3 linked regions of the Lepisosteus oculatus genome follow. The protein of the gene in region 2 purifies or fractionates together with the protein of the main gene of each other region. This does not show direct contact. Links are inferred from orthologs where the notes say so. Each region holds a gene or a part of one and is shown on either strand. Other genes may lie near its edges. The genes, in order: plekha2, si:dkey-92j12.5 and amot.

Region 1 (7,211 bases), on a different chromosome or scaffold from region 2:
GAAAATCATTTTTATTTTGGAACATAATTTCATAACATTTCATTTAGATAGGCAAAAAATCGTATTATCTTTCGGATAACACTACTAATTGATTCATTTCAGAATGAATGAACGTTCAACAATACAATACGTTCACTTCCAGTTTTGTGTTCGAATATGCATGAAGAAAAACACACGTTTTGTTTTGTTAACGCTGCAATACTAATCACATACAGTACGTTTGGAAATGCGAGTAATTATTCGTAGTAAAATACTAATCGTTGGAAATAAAATGACGTGTTCTTCCCGGAAATGTATGTAGTATTTGAAAGGTACTTTGAACGATGTCTCCTTAGCTATACAGAACAGTGCAATTTTATTTGCAGACTTTAGTTGTGCACATTACAACAGCTGACATCGTGAACGCAAACTTTATAATTCGATATCCTAAAAACTTATGGAGAGCTTCAATTTTAGCGGCGAAATTACCATGCCTGCAAATGAACGGACAGGTTGCAAGCAGTCACCTAACTGTACATAAGCACTTTGACCTGCCACACCTTTGTCATCAGAAGAGCTGTGTTAAAAGAAACCATACCACTTACCCAACTGCGATATGGGGAAAAGTTTCTGAAGTGCAAAATTCACTTACTTCCACTGATTATAAAGAAAAACTAAACAAGTTACCATTCCGTATTTGTTGACCAAACAAAGCCTTGATGTTTTTATTTCACATTTTGTGAACGTGTATGAGAGGCAAAACGCGCAAGGTCTCGTTTTTTCCGGGTAATAGCGATACAGATTAGAATAAACCAACCCCGGATATGATCTAGTCTTTTTTTTAAAAGGGGAACTTTAAAGATTGATCTGCATTCTGTTGTCCGTCTCTGAAAACAACAACAAAAAAATCTCCAAAGAGTGTGCAGACGGACCTAAAACTGAGACCGACCAAAGGCAAGAAGTTAAATGCCTTTGTAAAACTGAGAGAACAGGTTGACAGCAAGTGGTTGGTTGCCTGTCTGTTACACTCAGCGGTCCCAGCTGTGCCCAGTTTGGCTAAATAAGAATTCGCTTTTGAAAATACATAGTCCGGTTTCAAACGGTTTCATGATAGCCGTGGATTTGATACGGTATTGTAAATGACATTCAGCGATCACAGTGTTATTTTTCTTTTGCAGTCCTTCATGTGCATCTTCCATTTTGTTGTATTTCTTTATAAAATGCAAAAAACGTATAATTATGTCCTCTTTCTTCTCCGATTACTGAATATGCATACATGTACGTAGAAATGTATATTACTTTAACTTACATCCTCCAAAAAACAGTTTATTACAGAAAAAGTGATAAAACAGCAACGTGCTTTCCAAGTTGTTGTTTTTTTTCTTAAAGGCAGATGTTTTGACAAAACCTTGCAGTTTTGGGGTATGTTAAACATATAACTGCCTTGTAGCCCGCAGCACACCGTAATGTTTCGACATTTTGTATTTATTTTGGATGTCAAGAATTAATTTATTTTCCCCTTAATGTCTTTTCACTCTGTTCAAGAAGAAAGAGAAAAGCTAGGAAAAAATGGTGGCACTTTCATTTTACAGGCGATTACAATATGTAGTATTCATACTGTAGTGTAAATCATAACAACCAAAACGGATTTTCTGAGAAGTTAATCACCATGTTCTCAGTAAAACGTTACTTCAATTCAATAACAAGACCAACATGGAAAATTAAAAAAACGATGGTTTTCTCTTTAAATTTTCTTATATCTTATTTCTAAATTCAATTACAAATAAGCTATTTATCACAGCGGTTGCTTTAACTTGCTAGTTAACTCTTTCTAAATCGTAATATACTTTACTTCACACAGATCTACACACTAGCATAAAGTAACACGTGTAAATTCAATTACTGAGAAGGTTGCAAAACAGAACAATCAGAAACAGAAGTAAAGAGAGACCTAAAACGTAACATGTTTGGTAGTATCTTTGTAATAAATTCAGAACAGAAATTGTGTATGTACAGTAGGTTTTCTCTGCTTATTCGTAATAGAAGACGGAAAAAGGTATACGGTGTAATACCTTCCTACCTGTAGCGTATCTTTTAAAACATATTTTTCTAGTACAATCGATACTGTTCCTCTGTTCTGCCACAAAACGCTAGATTACGTATTGTACACCTACTATTTTGAAAGTGGTAACAAGCTGTTTGCAAAGCGTGCCCTTTTCTAGCACTGTTCAATTCATGTCGTGCACAGTACCGTATGCACAGTTAAAATCTCTCTTAGGACTGTGGATGCACCTACTGTACAATGTAGTGAGTGTCTACAGCCGTGCAGGGCAAAGAGTGACTTGTAACAAAGCCCATTAGCGAAATTCCTCTTTTTTCTTTCCCGACGGAGCCAACATGACTGCTAAACGAAGCAGAAACAACAGAGAATGTCGCAGAGCACCTTAAACAGGACAGGCAACTAAAACACAGGGAGGTACATGTGTCATAACTTACTCCTTGAAGGCTTTTGCAGACTTTGGTAGCTGAGGTATTCTCAGTCTAGCACATACCGTATTAGTTTGTACTTTGGTGACCCTTTTCTGATGGGTGGGATTGAAATACCTGGTAACTAGGGCTGCATTGTTCAGGGTTTTACAGAATCGTAGCACATAGAAATTTCAAAATGCTGAAGGGAGTTGTTACCTTTAATACTTGGTTTAGGTGGAACACAGGTTTGCACTATACCTTAAAATTGGTTAGAAGCAAATTTAGGGAACAGCACATCTACTGTATATACAAAGAGGAGTGAGTGGGATTAAATGTACAGTAAGACAAGGCTGCAGATGTTGAATGTCTAATATGCTAAATATAATAATGAGTACTACATTTAAAAAAAACTAGCTGGCGTGAGTGAACGCAGTCTGTGCAGGCATGTACTGTATTTCAGGGTTTCTGGGTAGTCCAGGGGCAGGGCAGTTAGTACAGCTGCTTCACACCTCCAGGGTCAGGTTCAGTTCCTGTTGTGGGTGTCAGTCTGTGTAGAGTTTGCAAAAGTCTTCCTGCACTCACTTGACATTTCTCCAGGTGCTCTGGTTTCCTCTTACCTCCCAAAGAAATGGTGACTAGGTCTGATTGAATCTTCCAAATTGTGCCTTTTCTGTGGCCCTGCAATGGACTGGCATCCCATCCAGGGAAAGAATAGTTGTCTGTACTCAGTCTCCTAGGAGTGCTCCAACCTTCATCAGTACAAGCAACTTTCTGACATGAGATAGAGCGATGTTAGGTTTTCATCTAGAGGAATGGATAGAATGGGAGGTTTAGAGTTGGGTTTTTTAGAGAAATGTGCAAGTATAGTACTCCTGGGTCTGCAGATTCATCAGGAGGTGTTCTGACAAATCAAGAATGTGCTCAAAGCCTCCTCTTTTCATAATGTAAAAGAAAATGTTATTATCATATAGAGCATTTCACAGTGTCTACAAACCCAGTGATTATCCCCAAATAAGAAACAGAAGTATTGCAGAATTTCACTCCAAAGACATTGCGACTTCAGAGTTTCACTGATAGCTATCAGTTTCTTTTTCTAACCAGGGTCCATATGCATGTTTGGCAAAGAAAATGTACAAATAAATAGGGCACTGGGGATGGTAGCCCATCTAGCATAGGTTTCATTTGTAAAGAAGGATCATGAACAATCATCCTTTACAAACCACTTCTGACAACACAATGTGCGTATTCATTAGGAACCACACCCTGACAGCTTGCTGATTTATTGACCAGCCACTTAAAATAATGCAATAGCAGAGTAGGAAAGGCATGACTGCTTTCTTCCACCCCTTTCCGAAAGTTTTATGACTGGCAATGCTGCTGTGAGAACTGGGCTAAGGATAAATCACATGACTCTTTCAATGTTGAAAGATGTTTCTTAAAAAGGGCTCCTGTTTACAATTTTATTCATTTATTTCCTTTAAAAGAACTTCTTTTTGCAAGAGCCGCTCAGCTGAAGCATCAGCTTTTTCGATGATGCTCAGAAGGAACTGTTCATCATAAGAGCTGGAGGTCTCACATGTTAATCAGATGTTTGCTCCCCATGCCAACAGAAGGAAATGCCATGGTCACTAAGTCATTCTCTGCATCTTAAAGGTACCACATTATATATCCAGAATATGTTAACCACATATGTGTTACATATATTTAGGGTTATATCCCATTATGTGTATCGTGTTTTATTTTCTGCACTTTGCATCTGTTGGAGATTTTAAAACTCAGATACATTGCAGAATCTGTGAATAATGCCAAATGTGATGACACTATTTCTGGACACACTCCACACAAACCTCTAAGGCACTTCAAATATTTCGAATATTACGTGTCCTATATTGGCTATCATGTTTCACATATATGCTCGATCGTTATTACTATCTCCCATCTTATGTCTCTTTTGTATCATTTTAATTCTTCTGGTTCTAGCTGTGTCTTTGATAATCACTGAATTGGAATGTTCCTGAGAACCAAAAAGCCACTTTATAAAGAAAACATAACTGAGAAATGTGACGAAACAAGATGAGAGTACTTCCGATCTTTCCATGGCGACCCTTAAAGAATAAAAACTATGCCACTAATCCCAGTACCTTTTCATACTGTATGTGATTGGGTAGATTTAAGCGACCTTTAAATTAAAACGTAGTAGTGTACTCTGTCCTCCGCATAACTCATCGCTTGTATTATAAAAGGTCTGTAACCCTTACAACCTGGTTAAAATTATTATAGTTGTATTGTGATAATATATATATAAATATTTTTTTATCTCGAAAATGTTTCACCTGTTGCAGATTACACTTCCTGTGGGTTTTTTCAGAGATAGTAAAGAAAAAAAAATTGCGCAGTTTCCACTCCTCGTGCGCTGTCCGCTAATTCCGCCACCCACTCACTTCTCCACAATACCATCACATCAGAAAGAAAGAAGACATCTCCGTTCCACGGTGCCTCAGAATTAAAAGTGCAGAACTGGATGCATTGCCCTATTCTTTGAAGAAATGCGAAAACTAGAGAGAACAATATTTCCGAAAGGAAAAAATGAAAGAAAATTGCTTTTTTTTTGCTCAGGAAAAACCATTATTAAATAAGATTATCTTGTCAAGTAGAGAAACACCGCACTTCCTTGTATCAAACCTAAAACTAAAACATTTAAGAACTGGATACTACTTTATTGACCAAGGTTACAAGAGAACTGTTAAGATGACAGGAGTTCTCGACATTTTGCACCTATTCTGACTGCCTTATACGCTACATTTGCAATGCACACAATTTGCTGAGGATTCGTGAATATTACCTGGGGAAGGTTATTGGAGTTGCACGGCCCTGGTTGCAATTGGTCTGCAACAGTGTTTGTGCAACAATTAAACCTTACTCCCTTAGCACTTCCTGATGATGCGTCTGCGTCGAATCATCTTATACTGTAACTCATCTGGCTGCAGAGAGGGTAGAGATGAAACACGCGAACAGGACCTACAGTATATGAAACCACGGAGAATCTGAAGCAATAAGAAAGACATTTAGCATCAGGAAAGCACAGAAGACATATGACCTCGCCTGTATGATGTCATTTTATCGTTGTTTCCCCCCCCCCAAAATAGTCTGAAATTGTTTAAATTTGCCATTTTTGATATTAATACAAAATTTTGACATCTTTACAAAAAACATTCGGGTTTAAATATGATGGGACATCTCAAATGAGGACATTAGATTTATTCAAAACTTTAAGAGGTCATCATGCAGTTATTTTAATTTCTCTATATATATTTTTCTAGAAAGTGAGAAGAATTATCTAATCTTTTTTAAAAGACAGACTGTTTACAAAGCAGCGCTATTTAAAACGAGTTTAGTATATATGAAATTGAAAGACCCGAAAGTGACTACGTGTATCTAGCAAAATGTAACATCTGGAAAACGAATAATACGTAAAATAAAGCGCCTGTTCATTGCGGCTTCCCAGAAGGAGATAACGTGGACAGTCTCGAGTGTATGCTCATTTTGTATGCATCAGTTTGACCTCAAAAGGAAGTCATGTTTTACGGTGTGTATAGTTAAACTGGAATTACAGCGACTTCGTTCAGAACGCTGCAAGCACAATCTAACCACTGCACATATTATGAAATGTGTTAAACTGCTTTGCTTCGAAAGAGAGAGCACGGGCTTCTGAATACAGAATTATTCGTATTTCTTTGTAAATCAATGCTACAGTACTTGCCCACAGAAAGTTATAAATGGAATTATGTAGAAAAGCGAGCTTGTTATATATATTAACTTTTTCTTGTAGTCGTTTTTAGGTGAGAATCTGATTGTATCTTCTGTTTAATTTATATTCCATTGCTTGGAAAGATAAAGGATTTTAATGACTTTCCAACAACCTCCTACAGTAATGTGAGAGGCAGCAGAGCATTAAAGGACTCGGTGGACACACATATGCTTCAGATTTATGGTGGAGCAAAAAAAACTTAACAACTGCTTAAGCAAAATGTGGAAAATGTCCCCTTCTGTCTTCAGTGTAAAGTTCTTAGAAGTGAATTCAGGATATTCTCAACACTTCCTTGCTTTTGAGGTTTAATCATTTCTCTTTTCTTTTTTCTGTCAGTATTTTTTCATCCCCTTGCTCCCAGATTTTCTCTTCACTGAATGCGCCATAAAATGAAGGTGAAGTTGTGCTCTTAATTTTGTATACAGAATGTCAAAGTCATTTGACAAATGAGGCGAGTCCATCTCTTATTAACCATACGGCACAGTTTATTAGATTCTAAAAAGCGTCCATCGCAGGAAACATTTCAGACAAAAGCTGTCTTCCCAAAATACGAAGGTTAAGAAAAAAATAAGCTGAAACTTTATTTTTTGTGTTTGGGAAGAATCGCTGACCTTTAATTGCATTTTATTTGCATCCACATATTTCAAATTTCTTTCCTTTCTCCCTCTTTTCTCTTTACAGTCCTACATGTTGGTTTGTGAGGTCACTTTAAATTCACTTTATCTTTTACAAGATGCAAAGAGTACTGACAGCCTTCATCCACTACACCGAATAGACTGCTGAACTGCAATTCGGTAGTTAAAATTCCACAAATGGGAATGTTAAATGGGGAAATTGGCAGTATTTTCCATGTTTTACATGAGTGCAGCAAAAAGCCAGGAAGACACCTGCCAATTATTATAGCACTAGCAATAGGGCAGCAATGAGGCTGAAACTTCACAGGTCTTCTTTTTCT
Region 2 (7,026 bases):
AGGACAGTTATGCTGTTGCTTATGCTGCTGTTATGTCTGGAATTTTCAAGCACACTACAACTCAAACATACATAATAATTGGTACGTTCTTAACATTTCATAGTTTCTCCTATCAGAAATAAACATTGCGATTAAGATAAAAACGGTCATTTCTGGGTCACAGACAGCACTAGATATCTGCACCAGTCTGATCATCTCTTGGATCCACAGGTGGATTTCATTCAAAGGTAAAGCTGCTTAAAAACAATGTACTGTACTGTAGTGGTACACTGGGGGAGCAACAAACTAGATAAACAAGTATAATGTGCCAAAGCTTTAACACTAAGAATTAAAAGCACAAATCTAGATGTGTATAGTGCTACAAAGCATGCTACTTCTGTCTGCACATGTATAAAATGTGAACAATATCTCCATGAACAGACATGTAATATTGATTTTACTTTCATAGAATGTAAAAATCGTAGTGATTCTGGTACAAAGCATAGCATAGTTTAAAACTAAGCATCACAAATACTAAAATTACTAAAGCATGTGTGAAAATACTGTTAATTGCACTATATATAACACTACTAAACAAAGATGCTGTCACTTAATACTCTTACAGCAGGATTAGCATCTGTAAATTGCCTTAAATTGAACTACATAAAGTGACCTTGGCATATGGCTTTAGGATACGTCTCTAGTGTGCTTTTCCAAGTGCTGTAAAGTCAATTAAAATTTAAATATTTTTTTTAAAATAAAGTAATTTTAAAATACTTATCTACAAGGAATTAACCTCTTTGTAAACTCAAATACATTTCAGCACTTTACACACTTATTTAAAAACTTTAATCTTCAAGTATTTAGTGAGTAGTCCACAAAGTCATGATCAAACCAATAATATAATTTAAAAAAAGACTTCTTAAGGTCTGTTCTTTTTAGTCATATATACAATATAAGTGAATATCAGTAGCACTTTGCTAAATTCATACATTTGATGATAGTTTATTGTTAGAGAGAAAAATATAAGTGAAAAATATACTAAAATGAAAAATACCTAAATAATGTAATAAATGTAGAACAAGAATACCCAAATAATAAGGCCTTTTTGATATCCTAAATAACAAATTACAAATTCTGTTTAAACATTTGTATCAGACTTATTAAGCATTAAACCATGAATTCACTGCCCCTGTTATTATTTTCTTGATAGTACTTCTGTTACTTCTGTATCTCCTGAAACTACAAGCAAATAGTCAGACGTGACTTCAAATGTGGGGATTTTTCTACTTTCTTTTTACTTTCCACCATGGAAAAATAATTAAATATAAAATAGATACCTTCAAATCAATATGGAACTTATTTGTTTACTATTATTCTGAATATAACTAGTCATACAAACATAATTCAACATTGTAAAAAGTTCATTTTATCCAAAATAGAAATGCATGCCTCTCAAATTAAAAGACAAATAATCTGATCTATTTAGCATACTCAGAAAAGCGTATATACTGTGGTTTTTTTTTTGTCATTTAAAAATCGACTAGCTGTAGGTCTACTTCCACAGACTGCAATAAAAAAACGTTCTTCTCACAGAAGCTCTAAGGAAACAGTTGTCATTTTTAGGAGTCATTCTTAGACATGCTGTACAACATGTTACACAAACACATATTATTTACAGAATTCGAAGTAAAAAACAAATAATCTCACTACATCCAGATTCTTGCCCAACATACAATTGTATACAGCTAGTTTCATTTTCAAACATTTCATATTTAAAATGTTCCAGAATTAACGTTTTAACGTGTTTTTCAAGAAGTAAATCGTTCAATTTTCTGGACTGAGTGGGCGATTCAAGGTTTAAACTTGAGAAAGTTTTTGTTGTGTTTCTTGTTATTTGTTCGCAACCCGAGGAAGTCGTTTATTTTGTGGAAACAGAGTTGGATGAATGAAGTTCAGACCAGTTACAAATGTGCTTTGATCGTCTTTTACGATATAAAATGTAGTTCTGGACCATGTCTGTTATAAACTGCCTTAAAACGCCCAGGGACTTGGATAATTACATGAGTTACCAAAACTCAGCGTCAGGACCACATAGGTTTTCTAAATAATTACAGCTTGTGACTGATGTAACCATCAGACTAAAGCTACTGCGTACAGTTAGCCTCTGAAAACTTGCCGTGATTTCAGACAGTAAATCGACAGCGGTTCGGTCTGCATCAGCATTCATGGAGCAAGAAGATAAGGACTGTGATGCAATTAAGATTGTGCCCCTGTACACAGAGTAAAGCGACACAAACTTATCATTACAATGTCTTTGTTTGTTTGTTATTCTCCTTCATGTGCCCCCAACCGACCCTTCCAGCAGGATACTGTATCATTGTGTGCCTCTGGAGCGGAATGCAATTTGCTTTTCTCAGCACCCGCCTCCCCTTCCCCCTCCCACTCCTGGCTGAAGCAACAGGGCTTTCCAACGCAGTTCATTCACATAGGATGAAATCCGCATTTTTAAGAGCAAATGGCTCCTCCACGAACGAAACGTCCGGATAATACCCGCAGTATTACAGTAAACTTCAATGCATGTTTTAAAACAAAAAAAATAATCCGAGCGGTCCCAGAACAATGCCCCAGAATAAACATCGTCAGTGCCCGTCTAATTCCACATTGGTGCCAACAAATCCAGTTTTTTTTACAACGGAAAAACAGTACAGCGTCGAAAATCGACTTTCACTTTTGTAGTTTATTCATGTACAAACTATTAAATTAAAGTGCTGGTTTAAAAATGAAGAAAAAGAACACTTACACGAACGCGGACTGGTCTGCGGTGCCTCGGTAATGCTAGACGCTTCCTATCCTAGCGTGTTGTCCTGAGTCTTCCTCCTGTAGCTAACGGCGCATAGAGCGGCTTAGGGATGGGGTGTAGTGTAACTCGATCCTCCACAGACATTTTCAGCAATAGCGGCACCGAGAGTTGAAACAAGCTACAGCTCTAACAGGCCACTGTATCCCCGACTAGAATTAAGAAGGTCAGAGGCGTTGCTTGCGTGAAACCATGACAACAGAGTTGGGAGATCATTCAAGAGGTTGCTCAGAAAAGCCCAATCAACCTCTTTTAACCCATACAAACGTGCGCAATACCCAGGATCACACAAATACTACAGGTCGAAAGTGTGAAAGCAGAATTGCGGCGCAGAAAAACATAGTTTGAGGGCAATGTTATTCGTTATTTTTTTTTCCACCTAACCCCATGGTTTCTATGCATCAATGTGCGGATAACTATCTCGTACAAAAATATACTACATTGATATGGAAGTTGATTCATATTTTTAATAAAGCGGGACTACGTATGATGAAAAGAATAACTTTAGCAACAATATACATCAATTATTATTTCGACACCTTTATAAGGGCATAATTAACCTTCAAATTCTGCAACTAAAATAGAGAGCATCTAAGGTAATGTTACTAACACTGCAGATTTACATTCTACACAATACATTATTTTAAGAGATTATAAATGAGAACCAGGTGCAAGAATTAATGAAATATACCACTGAAACGATCTGTTCTGTTTCACCCTTATAAAATGACAGAACTAACAAATGAAGCATTTTCTTGGCAGTACTATTGAAGCTGACAAATTAAATGATCTAATGAACCAGAACTTCACTGGATTTTTCCTTTTAGTTAATTTTTTAATTAAGTCTACCACCCTGATTAAAGGTGGATATGAAAGCTGCAATAGTAACAGTAGTTTTTTTCCACAAATATGGCTTTGTATTACTGTACAGTACATGCTTTTGGTATTTGAGTAAAGGAATATTAATTGTGTTGATTTGTTTTCAATAGTTACATCAAGACAAATTAAATTAGTTTTTGTTATCACCTGAAGCGTGCAAGTTTTGCATTGTGCTCACCATTTCTACGTATCATAAATACCCAGATTCCTTTATATAAACTATGTATTAAGATGCAATGTTATGCAAGGAAATTCTGTTACTGGCTTCCTCATACTTAAAAAGTACCACATGTTATGTCAATATTTGACAAGTGTTTCTCAATCTTTTTATTGTAATTCTTGTAGGTGCAGTTGCTTTTCCAATGGTGGTTAAGAAACATCCATAACAACACAAAAGACCCTTAGACCCATAGGATATTAAATGTGGTGTTAATTTCTCTATCCAGTGCCACATAATGACTGTGATGCATTACACAGATGAAATTGATGCTCTCTTATACACAAATCTTTTTGATATCCTTTTGGATGAAATTTATAGAAATGTGAGGAATTATCATTATTGTTGTTATCATCAATCAACCTATCCATCTATTTTCTAACCACTTTATTCCACACAGGGTTGCAGGGGAGCCAGAGCCTATCCCAGCAAGCAACAGGTGCAAGGCAAGATACACACTGGATGAAACCCACATCTACCACAGCGCACAAAAATAATATTAACACTTTTCCCTTTCCCCCCAAAAAAGGAAGGTCTTGTATTACAGTAGATGCATACCCCTTATTTTTCTAAGTGTTTCCTGGCAATATTTGACTAGTTGCTTTATGAATTGGGATAGTTCATGTGGCGGTACTGACGCACTTATCAATGTATAGCCTGTAGAGGTCAAGGACAAAGCCAGTGTAGGAAGAGAAGAAACATTCTTCTACGCAGCCGACAAAAACATTAGCATAGCTAGGTCACATTCTGGGCCCTGAAACTGGAAATCATTAAAAAGTTGGAGCGCATGGTTGGTGTCCTTGATATATGAAGGAAACCCTTCAACCAGTGGTCTCATGAGGCTGTTGAGAAAGGCTGTGATGTGAGTAGTTGGACAGTTGCATGCTGAGATGATGGGACGTCCAGGGGTGTCGGGTTTGTGGATTTTAGGGGAGGAGGTAAAATTTGGATACCTGGGGATTTTCAACAATGAGATGGTTTACCTCCTGGGGGAGTTCCTTGCTATTCCTGAACCATTTCCATTTCTCTTGTCATCAAATTTGAGCAATGGATACTGACATACAGTAAGGTAGGTAGGGTAGGTCCCTTTTCAGGCCATAAAGAGCAATGGGGAATGGGGGACAAGGGCCACCATTTTTCTACAATCATCTGACACTGAAGTTGGAGGTGATGTGGTCAGCGTCACGTTCTGGTCAGCCTATTACCCCCGGAAGGATTTACCCCCAGTACTCATTTGGAAAGCAGGCTGAGCGGACCTGGGAGCTGTCTGGAAGGAAATAAAGCAAGCTACATCGCTTGCCCCTACCTGGGATTGAACCCTGAACCTTCCAGTCAGGAGCGAGATGCCCTTGTGCCTGAGATACCACAGCTCCAATGACTTAAGGTACTGAAGTTTTAAAAAAGGTCTTCTGTAAAACTTTAGACCTACAGTATATAAACAAAATCATATAAAAAAAACATTGAGCTAATAACATGTGATTTCTTGAGAACACCAGGAACTCAACTTTGAGCACTTGAACTGATAAATGAAGGTAAGAATCTGTATAACCACATTCAATTCTGGACCTGGGGTGCTGTCTGTGTGTAGTTTGTATGTCCTCCCCATGTATGTGTGGGTTTTCTCTAGGTTTCCTCTTCCTCTTCCAAAAAAACATCCTGGTGTGTTAATTGCCTTCTGGGAAAATTGACCTTGAATGTGTGTATCTGCCCTGCCATGGACTGGTGTCCCATCCAGGGTGTACCCTGGTTTGTGCCCATTGTTTGCTGGGAATGCAAGCTGCAGAATAATGATCCTAAGCATTTTGCAATGTCTACAAAAGAATTTGTATAACAAATGAAGGTTACAGGATTGACCTTTTCATTGTGAAAACAGCTGCTGTTGCACAGATGAAACACAAGTTGATCATGGAACTCAAATATATAACTGAGAAGATGCCAGGAAATGGTTCCAAAATACATAAAAGAAATTAAAACATGAAGGAAACACAGAATGGGCACTCATAATACTAAAGGCCTGGTGCCCAAACACTTTTGTCAAAGTATGACATTAATTATGGCATATCATTTTTTTTATAAATTTTATTTAAATATATGTATATATATTTATTTTAATGCTGAATATCTTCTTTATTTTTTAATTTCTCAAGGCATCTTAATCTCTTTTGAAGTTCTGCATCACAGTCTCTTCTGGCAAAATTATAGAAAAAAAACATTCTTCTGGAATTCAGAAGTTACTGTTACTGACGTGTTAACTGCTTGCATACTTCACGAAACTACAATCACTTATCAATATTACATAGTAGTAGTCATGGCACCAGGCCAGGATATGTGGGACACAGATACACTAGGACTATGCAGGTCCTATGAGTACTAGTGTGAACAACAGGGTGTAAGGAGTGCTTCTTCATGGAAATAAAGGATTTGTCTCACCTGGTGTTTTGCTATCTGGTTCCCTCTTGAAAGCATTCATGTCATTTTTCTCCACCCAGGTGGTCTATAAAAAGCAATGATTGAAAGTTCAGGTTTATTGGAGTACTAGAAGTGGAGCATTAGGGTTATTTTCTCTCAGGCTTATTCACTGTGTCTGGAGGTAGGGAGTTTATCCTTCCTTGCCTAATAACCTCCCATGAACCCACATGACAGTAACATCATTACAGTATTATGCTGAATTGCTGCCTGACTGCATAAAGCCAACCACAAAATACAGTGGGGAATGCTGATGTCAGGAAAATAGTTTTTTTTTAATGGTAATACCAATGTTATCTAAAAAGTTGTTATTTAGTATTAATCTTGACATTTTGAATAGGTTTATACACATATTTCTTTATTACGAAACTGTGATGTTCTGACTTACACATTTGTTGATAGACGAATGTATCAATGATCAGGTACACAGTATTTACTACTAATTGGTATTTTTTCAATTTGAAAGGAAATTAACTTTATATTAATGTAAAGGGTGGTTTTAATTAACAAACTGGTATGAAACAACACTGCGTTATCTGGATAGAAAAAATGTGAAATAATAGTGGTTCTGGTGCCTCATCATTTTTGTTTGTGTTCCTCTCTTCCAAAAACCAGACTACATGCA
Region 3 (7,714 bases), on a different chromosome or scaffold from region 2:
AATGTGAATTACGACAGTGTAGACAGCCTATGGTGTAAGATATTATTTGCTACACTTTTTATCCGAGGTGACATGCTTCCAAACATGTAATTCTGGGTTGTTTATGAATGTACCTTAGGTCTCAGACCTTTGTTTGGGATGTTGAGCTGTGTGACAAGGAACCCTAAAATATGAAATTAAAAAATATCTGGCTAACATTAACTCAATAATAGGTTTTCATCATCTACGCTCCAGTGCCAAGAATCCCTTCAGATTCTTTCACATATTGAAACCTTAGATGTTACTACACCTTGATCTAAGTCCTAATTATGAACATAATCTGATGAAACAAATGACACAAAACATGATATCCTATTAACATTTATCTTCAAACAATGCAACATTCAATAGCCATGTGTGACAAAGAATGTGAACCTTTATATTCAGTGAACTGGTAGCACAGCCTTGAGCAGCAATGACAGGAGCTCAACATTTCCTGTAACAGCTGATCAGTCTGTCACATTTGTAGTGAGGAATTGTGGATCACCGTCTTGCTGCAAGACTTACATTTGGCTCAACTTCAGATCACAGATTGATGGCCTGATGTTCTGTTCTAGACTCTTCTGATACAATGCAGAATTCATGGTTGTGTTGGTCATCCAGATCCTGAGGCAGCAAAGCAACCCAAAACCATCAAGCTCCCACCAACATGGTTGACAGGTGGGATGAGGTTCTGTTTTTAAAAGCAGTGTTTGATTTATGCCAAACATAATGTTCCTAATTGAGGCCAAAGAGTTCTATCTACCGTGCCTGTCAAGAGAACATTTATCCAGCAGCTTTGTGGATAATCTATGTGCTCTTTGGCAAACTTTAAACAGGCAGCAATGTTACTTTTGGAGAACATTTTTCTCCTTGCTATCCTTCCATGAATACCATTCAAACCAAAGTTGTCTGATAGTTATGAATAGTCACATTAGTGAAGGCAAGAGTGGCATGCAGTTCTTTGGATGTTATGCTAGGGTTCTTCCTCGATGATTCTCCAGTTTATTCTTGGAGAGACACTGGTAGCACAACATCTCCTGGGTAGAGTGACTGTGGTTTTTAACTTTCTTCATTTGTATACTGTCTGAGAGTGAATTGGTGGAGCCCCAAATACTTAGAATTGGTTTTGTTAGTCTTTCCGGTCTGAAGAACATCGATGGCTATTTTTCTGAGGTTCTCTGAGAAATTCTTAGACATGTGGCATGACTTATTTCAAACACATGCATGGTGAAGGCCAAACTCACACCATTTCTGATCTTTATATAGGTTGGGGCCTTACAAACTCAGCCCCCAAGGTCTACCTAATTATTTTAACACCTGATTCTAATTATTACCTTAATTAAGCTAATTAAACTAGGGGTTCACTAACTTTTCCCCAATATCAAATTTTACTCATTGTTCAATTCAAACATCATTTTGTTTTAAGAGACAAGAAATATGTTACTATAATCATTACTGGATACTTGCGGAAAGAGTGTTTTTTATTTAAGAAGGCCATCAGGGTAAGACTATGAAAATACCATTTTTCTTTGAGATTTGATACACTGATTCACTATGTTTTTCTCGACCCTGTATCTGTTGACATTACAGATGAAATCTTGAAGTCTAGTTTGATTTCTCACCTTTAATAAATTACGAGCTGCATACAACTGTAACTACCGCTTCCTTAAGTTAGACAAAATATATTTGTTATTGGATTGGGCAAAATCGTAATAAAACAGAACACATTCTAATAAGTAGTTGAAACATGGATGTACAGAAAATGTATGGACATTCAAATAAATGGGGTCTACTTTAAATTTATACATAATTATGGAGATGATAAAATTTCTTGATGGTTTTTAAGTGAAATAATTTATGTTCATGTTATTAAAACACTAATATATATTTCTTATATTTTAATAAAAGAATTAAACACTAATTGAAAAACTGTTGAACACTCCTTGACAATGTAGATGAGAAGCAATCCATTTTGGACTCTGGTAATCCTGGGGCAAAAGTGCACATCATACCTAAAAAGCTCAGAGCATGTTCAGGGAATCCAATATGATTGATCCAGTTAGCCACATTCTCTGGACTCCATTCTTCCACAACACTCATTGTGTTTTCTTTGACTGTCTCCAGCCCTATCCCCTTCTGTGGCCTGAGGAATAATAATAAAATAATAATCATCATCATCTTTTTTCACTGACTCTTTCCATCAAGTGTTTACAACATAACCATGAGCTTTTGAATGGTCGATCCAACGATACTATGACTGTATCAATCATCCATTTAAATTAAAAGGTTATTGTCTTGACTTGGATTTTTATCCAAGTTAACCGTTGAATTGGTTTAGAAACGGGCGATTCTATATGTTGATGCATTCCTAAACAGTTGTAAATTGTTAATAGACTGAATATTACCCATTACCAGTAAAATATTTCAAATTTGGAATGCCCCATATGTTGGAGAGATCCAAATATATAAAAAATAAGCCACATTTACTTTATCCAGGAAGTGGTACAAAGAAAGCATTTTGTGTAAGTTCCAAAAATATGTTGCAATATAAAAAAGCACTTTTAAATTTCACGGGAAAACTACAATATGATATACACGGCGTACATAGGTTTTGTAATACATTTGCCTTTACAGAAAATCCTTTATATTGAAGTAGACGTATAAGAATCACATTCATTCTTGTGTTTAAACCCCGATGCTGCTTTTTGAAAGAAGGCTGTATTTTAAAATAGGGCGTTTAAAACAGGAAAACACCTGAGACCATTTTGTTGGCTTTGTACATAAGCCACGTACAGTACTGCCAGGCGTACCCGGCAAACTCCATTGCAGATTGCAACGTCCGTGAGTCCGAAGAGCCGGGCCGTGACCCAGGTACGCTTGTTTTTCAAGAAGCAAATCCGTCCAGCTAATACTCTTTTGTATATTAGACGACACAAACGACGAACATGGAATAATTTGCATAAACTCACCTCGCTTCTAGTTCATCTAGATCATGTCCAGATTTAGCTTTACAGCTCTAAAAAGACAATGTAATTTCCCACAGAAACGTTCACCTGGGCAGGTAAAAGGGCGGAGTCAGAGCAAAGCTGGTCAGGAGCATTGTTGGTATTGTAGTCAATGTGTGGTTTACAGAGCTTTCCTGATCATACTATCTGAACGTAGGTCACATTATTTTTAAACACTTTGAAGCATAACATCAAGTTTGGATAAATTATTCCATTCGGATTGTTATTCCAAGAAATCCCATATGTCATCATTGTTCAAGACATAACTTGATAAATTTTAATTACATAGCTAATTCAATACACACTCTTGATAAAATAAGGTATGCATGACCCAGACGAAGATGCTAAGTTCCAAGATATACCCATTGTCATGTGATGTACCAGCCAACGATGTCCACGTTTATCTGTCCCTTCCAAAACTCCTGAACGATAGCATTTTTCGCATAGTGACTAGTTATAGCAGTCAGTTTACACAGTTTAATATTGTGGAGTATCCATGAAACGTATTAGTTTGTGTTCTTCAATACCAGTGCGTTCTTTTCAAAGAAAAATAAGATTACAGAACATAGATTAACTGGAAGAAAAAAAAAATCAAACCCATTTGGTCTTCTAACCATTTCTTTCAAACATGCTTCAACAGAACACAATTTTTAAGGTGCTAATTTATGCACCTTAAAACACTACTATGCAACACTACTGTCATGAGAATGTCATCAATTTTTCATTTGTAAACATGGGTCACCACTGCCGCCAAACAGTAGACCTAGGACACTACATTCTTTCCTAAACTTTCATTTGAGTCATTACAAAGTCTCGCAGTACCTTACAGAATGCTTCAGATAAACATTTAAGGAATTGTCTGGTTCACAAACAGAAATGTGCAGGTCCCAAGCGAGTGATGCGTTACCCAGGCCAACTCAACAAAACCACAGAATTTGCTGCACATGGCCAATTGTGTGCTATTGGCTGTGGAATCATGGCTTCCACCATCTAGACTTGAAATGGTGGCTTCTGTACTGTAGGGTTGGAACTTCTCAGCAGGCATCTTTACTTACCAGTGGATCCAATTCCTAGTTTTCTGGTCTTTTTATTTTTTTTAGGTTAAAGTTTTCATTAAAAACAACATAATCCCAATCAATCACATTTGGAAGCAGGCAAGGAGAAATAGTGAATTCTAGGATTATCTCCACCAACAATGATGAAAGAAAACAAGTGACTTTTTACACTGATCCTTTTTATTTCATCTGCATACTTTGTCCAGACATCTTATCAACCAAAGAACTACAAGCTGTGGCCAAAGAACAAGACAGATGCTCATGGGGTGGCGTTTAGTACAGACTGAACCGTTGATAGAGGCAAAAAGATACAAAATATAAATTCTAGAGTTACACAAACGTTTGGATTTTTTCTCTTCTCCAAGACGCTAACAAGTGAGGCACACATATACACATAAACATGATCACAAATGACCAATTCCAAACCAGCAGCTGCCTCAGGTGAACATCTCCCTTTTGAGAAATGAGGCAAAGTGCAAAGAGGGGTTCTGCGTTGCTTTCAGACTTTTTATTTTTAAAAAGCAGCTTGAGAGTGAACAGCAAAGCTCCCCCCTCCTCAGTTAAGTGCTCTAGAGTGGGTCTTAGCACATTTTCAGGTGTCTTTCAAGTTAAGTTAAAAGCTTTTCTGTAACCCTTGCGCAGTACAGAGGGAGGAATTCATCATTTGTGCTACTGCAGTACTAGATAAGCGTTTCATGGTAAGAGGTTCCCTAGGGCTGTGCACTGAAACTCATGGCTAGGATCTTCCTCTCCCCTGGGCCTTTAGACATTGCTCAGAGCATCCACACCAGGCAGGACTTTACCTATTATAATTAAAAAAAAAAGAGAAAAACAATTTAAAATTATTGTACAGAACATCAGTTATCTTATCCCTCAAAGACACATCTCTTGTTGAAAAAATAAAGCGAAGAAATAATGTACTTCTGTGAAATAAGGACTTTTTTCAAGACAATGACAAAGTACTTTTGGAAATATTCTGCAAGCTGTATGAGATGTCCATTTATAAAATAGGATATTCCTGTTTTATTGGTCCAATGTCAAAAGTATAAAGAAACTTGTTTTTGCTAAAAATAAAATCATAAGGTAGCATGGTGGCACAGTGGTCATCACTGCCACTTCCCCCCTGGGTTCAATTCCTGGGGTGCTATCTGTATGAAGTTTTTATGTTCTCCCTGTGTCTGCATGGGTTTCCTCCAGGTGAAAGTGGAATACTGATCATTGTGAACTGGATACTGGAGGAGCCTATACTATCTGATGTTATGCAGTCATTGGACTATTGCTCAGAATTCAGCTCCCAGAGTTCTCAGCGCCTCAGGTTTTCATACCTTCTAGCAGCTCTAAGCTGGCTCCGCCCCCAGTGCTGACGTGGCTGACCTTGTCCTCGGTGTCCCACTTTGCACAGCAGGTGGCCGTATCACCCCCACCTTGGATAGGAACACAGCAACGTGAGCTGTCCATTATAGCCCCCACACCAGCATGACAATTCACAAAAGGTCCAATCAAATCCCAGCACAATTCAGGCAGCTTTAAAACATTTAAGGTCAATGTGCCACCACTCCTGTGGACAGTTTTAATGTTTTTAGTTCTGTAAATTCTTAAAATACCATTGATCACTAAAATCAAGTTTAAAAGACGGAAAAAACACCTTTTAGGAGTCTTTTCGACTTCACGCCTCTGAGACATCCATTTAAACACAAAAGAGGTCAGATTTTAGATGTGAATTAACTGGTCACATACCTGCCAAAACACTAGATGAACTATTCAGTATTTAGCAATATTTCCTATGGAGGTTAAATTCTAAGCTATAGGTACCCCTTAGCCCCATCTAGTGGTTGAATTGGTTTGCAATTACAAAACATTTTACTTAGATTCACTTTTGAGGCAAAATGGACGTTTCCAGTTGTCTCTGGTAGTGCCAAATGTCCAAATCCTGTTTCAAAAGCTAAATCTCCTTTTGAAGTCAGGAATGTTAGGGGGTGGTTAATTGAACCACATAACCCTCAACAGTCTATATTTAGGTATTTATGTTGATTATTCCAATATCTTCAGTTAATTAAAGAGCTATTTTTCACCACATGTGGAATCCATACCCACTTAGATTCACTGAAATTCCAAACATTTGCCAATTTAATATAGATCTTGTTTGCAAATAAATAAGCAAACAATTGATACTGGAAACTTCCCGATAAGATGTAAATACTTTCAAATAACAGAATGCTAGAGCTTCTACATTTTGCATTTATTTTTTTCTTGAATCTATACAGCCTGGACCTGTAAAACCTCCTCAATCCTCTTCTTTTAACATGGTAGATTCATTAACCCCAACTCACGACCAAGTGAAGGTGCCTATGTGCAAGCTTGTAGCCAATCCAGAATCTTTATTTTCTCAGCCAAGATTAGCACTTTCCTACTTTTATGCTTTCAGCATCACCACAGGCTGATAACTTGCGGACACAACGCAGGAACAATATACTACAAATTGAAACAAAGGAAAGTGCACAGCGAAACACTGTAAAGCATAGGAGAAACAGAGTATGGACCAGGAAGCTGGCAGCAGCACAAAGATGCCCAGGAATACCACAGGATTCCTGAGAAAAATGCAGGATTTTGACACAGGCATGCAGCCTAGTGGAATATATTTCAAGGATTAACCGATGTTATAGCATATACTTCATACAGCACTTTTTGGTTACATTTATTTTGTGCTTTATAGAGAAACTGAATTGGAGGGGGGTTACTGTATCCAGTTAATAAACAATTTGTTATCATTGTTCATCACTTACTAGCCAGGAAATAAAATGTGATTTTCCAGGTTTTCTGGGAATTGTGAGAAGCCACCACAGTTTTGAAAGCAGTTTTCTTTAGAAAACAATATGGAAAATATATCTGGGAAAGAAAGGCTGAAGATGGCCTTTACTTACCGATAATGGTGATGCAGCCCTTCTGAGTGGCCTCTACCACTTTATCCATGAGGTTCTTGGTTCCACTGGCAAATTTGTCCCACTCGAACACTCCTACAGGTCCGTTCCACACGATCTGCTTGGCTCTCCCCACGGCTTCTGCAAACTTCTTTGAGCTCTCTGGGCCACAGTCCAGGCCCTGAAGTACAAAGATAAAATGGATAAGAGCTTGGAAAACAGAACTTGAGAGGTAGAAGCCCTTAATACATCAGACATTAAAGTAGAAAAAAGTTACATAATGAGATCTAACTTGCAGAGAGCTACTGTTTTCTCTTGGTTAAAACATATTTTTCTAAAGACTTGGAACACTTTACAATAAAGCAGGAGATTTAAGTAACCTTCAAACTTAATTTGAAAAAAAAAACACTCATTCGAGAACCTAAATAAATAAATCTAGTAGCTAAGTGTTTAGGAAAAAGTGATTTCAGGGGACATAAAACAACTTATTTGTGGGGAAAAAAGATTCAATCCAGGTAAGAAGTTCAATACATACAACATTAATCAGAAATTTACAACATGCTGCTGAAGCTTTACATAAGTTCTATAAAGCATTCATTGATAATAGTGATGAGACTGGGTTAAGTATAAACAATCTGTACCTGCATGTCTGTTTCTTGTGGTTACAATACTAAAAATTAATGTTACCCTGTGTAAGGGCCCCCTCCAAGCAAAT

Evidence for each region.
Region 1: the proteins of si:dkey-92j12.5 (region 2) and plekha2 purify together in Homo sapiens (affinity purification with western blotting; 3 studies listed by BioGRID and IntAct, with this or other methods). This does not show direct contact. The link is inferred for Lepisosteus oculatus from reciprocal best matches to the Homo sapiens genes MPDZ and PLEKHA2.
Region 3: the proteins of si:dkey-92j12.5 (region 2) and amot purify together in Homo sapiens (affinity purification with mass spectrometry; 4 studies listed by BioGRID and IntAct, with this or other methods). This does not show direct contact. The link is inferred for Lepisosteus oculatus from reciprocal best matches to the Homo sapiens genes MPDZ and AMOT.

The regions. Positions count from the first base shown.
Region 1 is NC_090697.1:71,439,659-71,446,869, forward strand, and holds the start of plekha2 (pleckstrin homology domain-containing family A member 2), read right to left. Parts: upstream 3,086-7,211; 5' UTR 3,066-3,085; intron 2,137-3,065; exon of another isoform or gene 2,060-2,136; intron 944-2,059; exon of another isoform or gene 585-943; intron 1-584. UniProt on the Homo sapiens protein: Binds specifically to phosphatidylinositol 3,4-diphosphate (PtdIns3,4P2), but not to other phosphoinositides. May recruit other proteins to the plasma membrane.
Region 2 is NC_090696.1:70,226,982-70,234,007, reverse strand, and holds the start of si:dkey-92j12.5 (multiple PDZ domain protein), read right to left. Parts: upstream 3,010-7,026; 5' UTR 2,783-3,009; intron 1-2,782. UniProt on the Homo sapiens protein: Member of the NMDAR signaling complex that may play a role in control of AMPAR potentiation and synaptic plasticity in excitatory synapses. Promotes clustering of HT2RC at the cell surface.
Region 3 is NC_090703.1:34,849,559-34,857,272, reverse strand, and holds the start of amot (angiomotin), read right to left. Parts: upstream 3,083-7,714; 5' UTR 2,991-3,082; intron 2,165-2,990; 5' UTR 2,122-2,164; coding exon 2,034-2,121; intron 1-2,033. Other genes in the region: pgk1 (phosphoglycerate kinase 1), read right to left, coding at 4,844-4,884, 5,407-5,505, 7,003-7,180.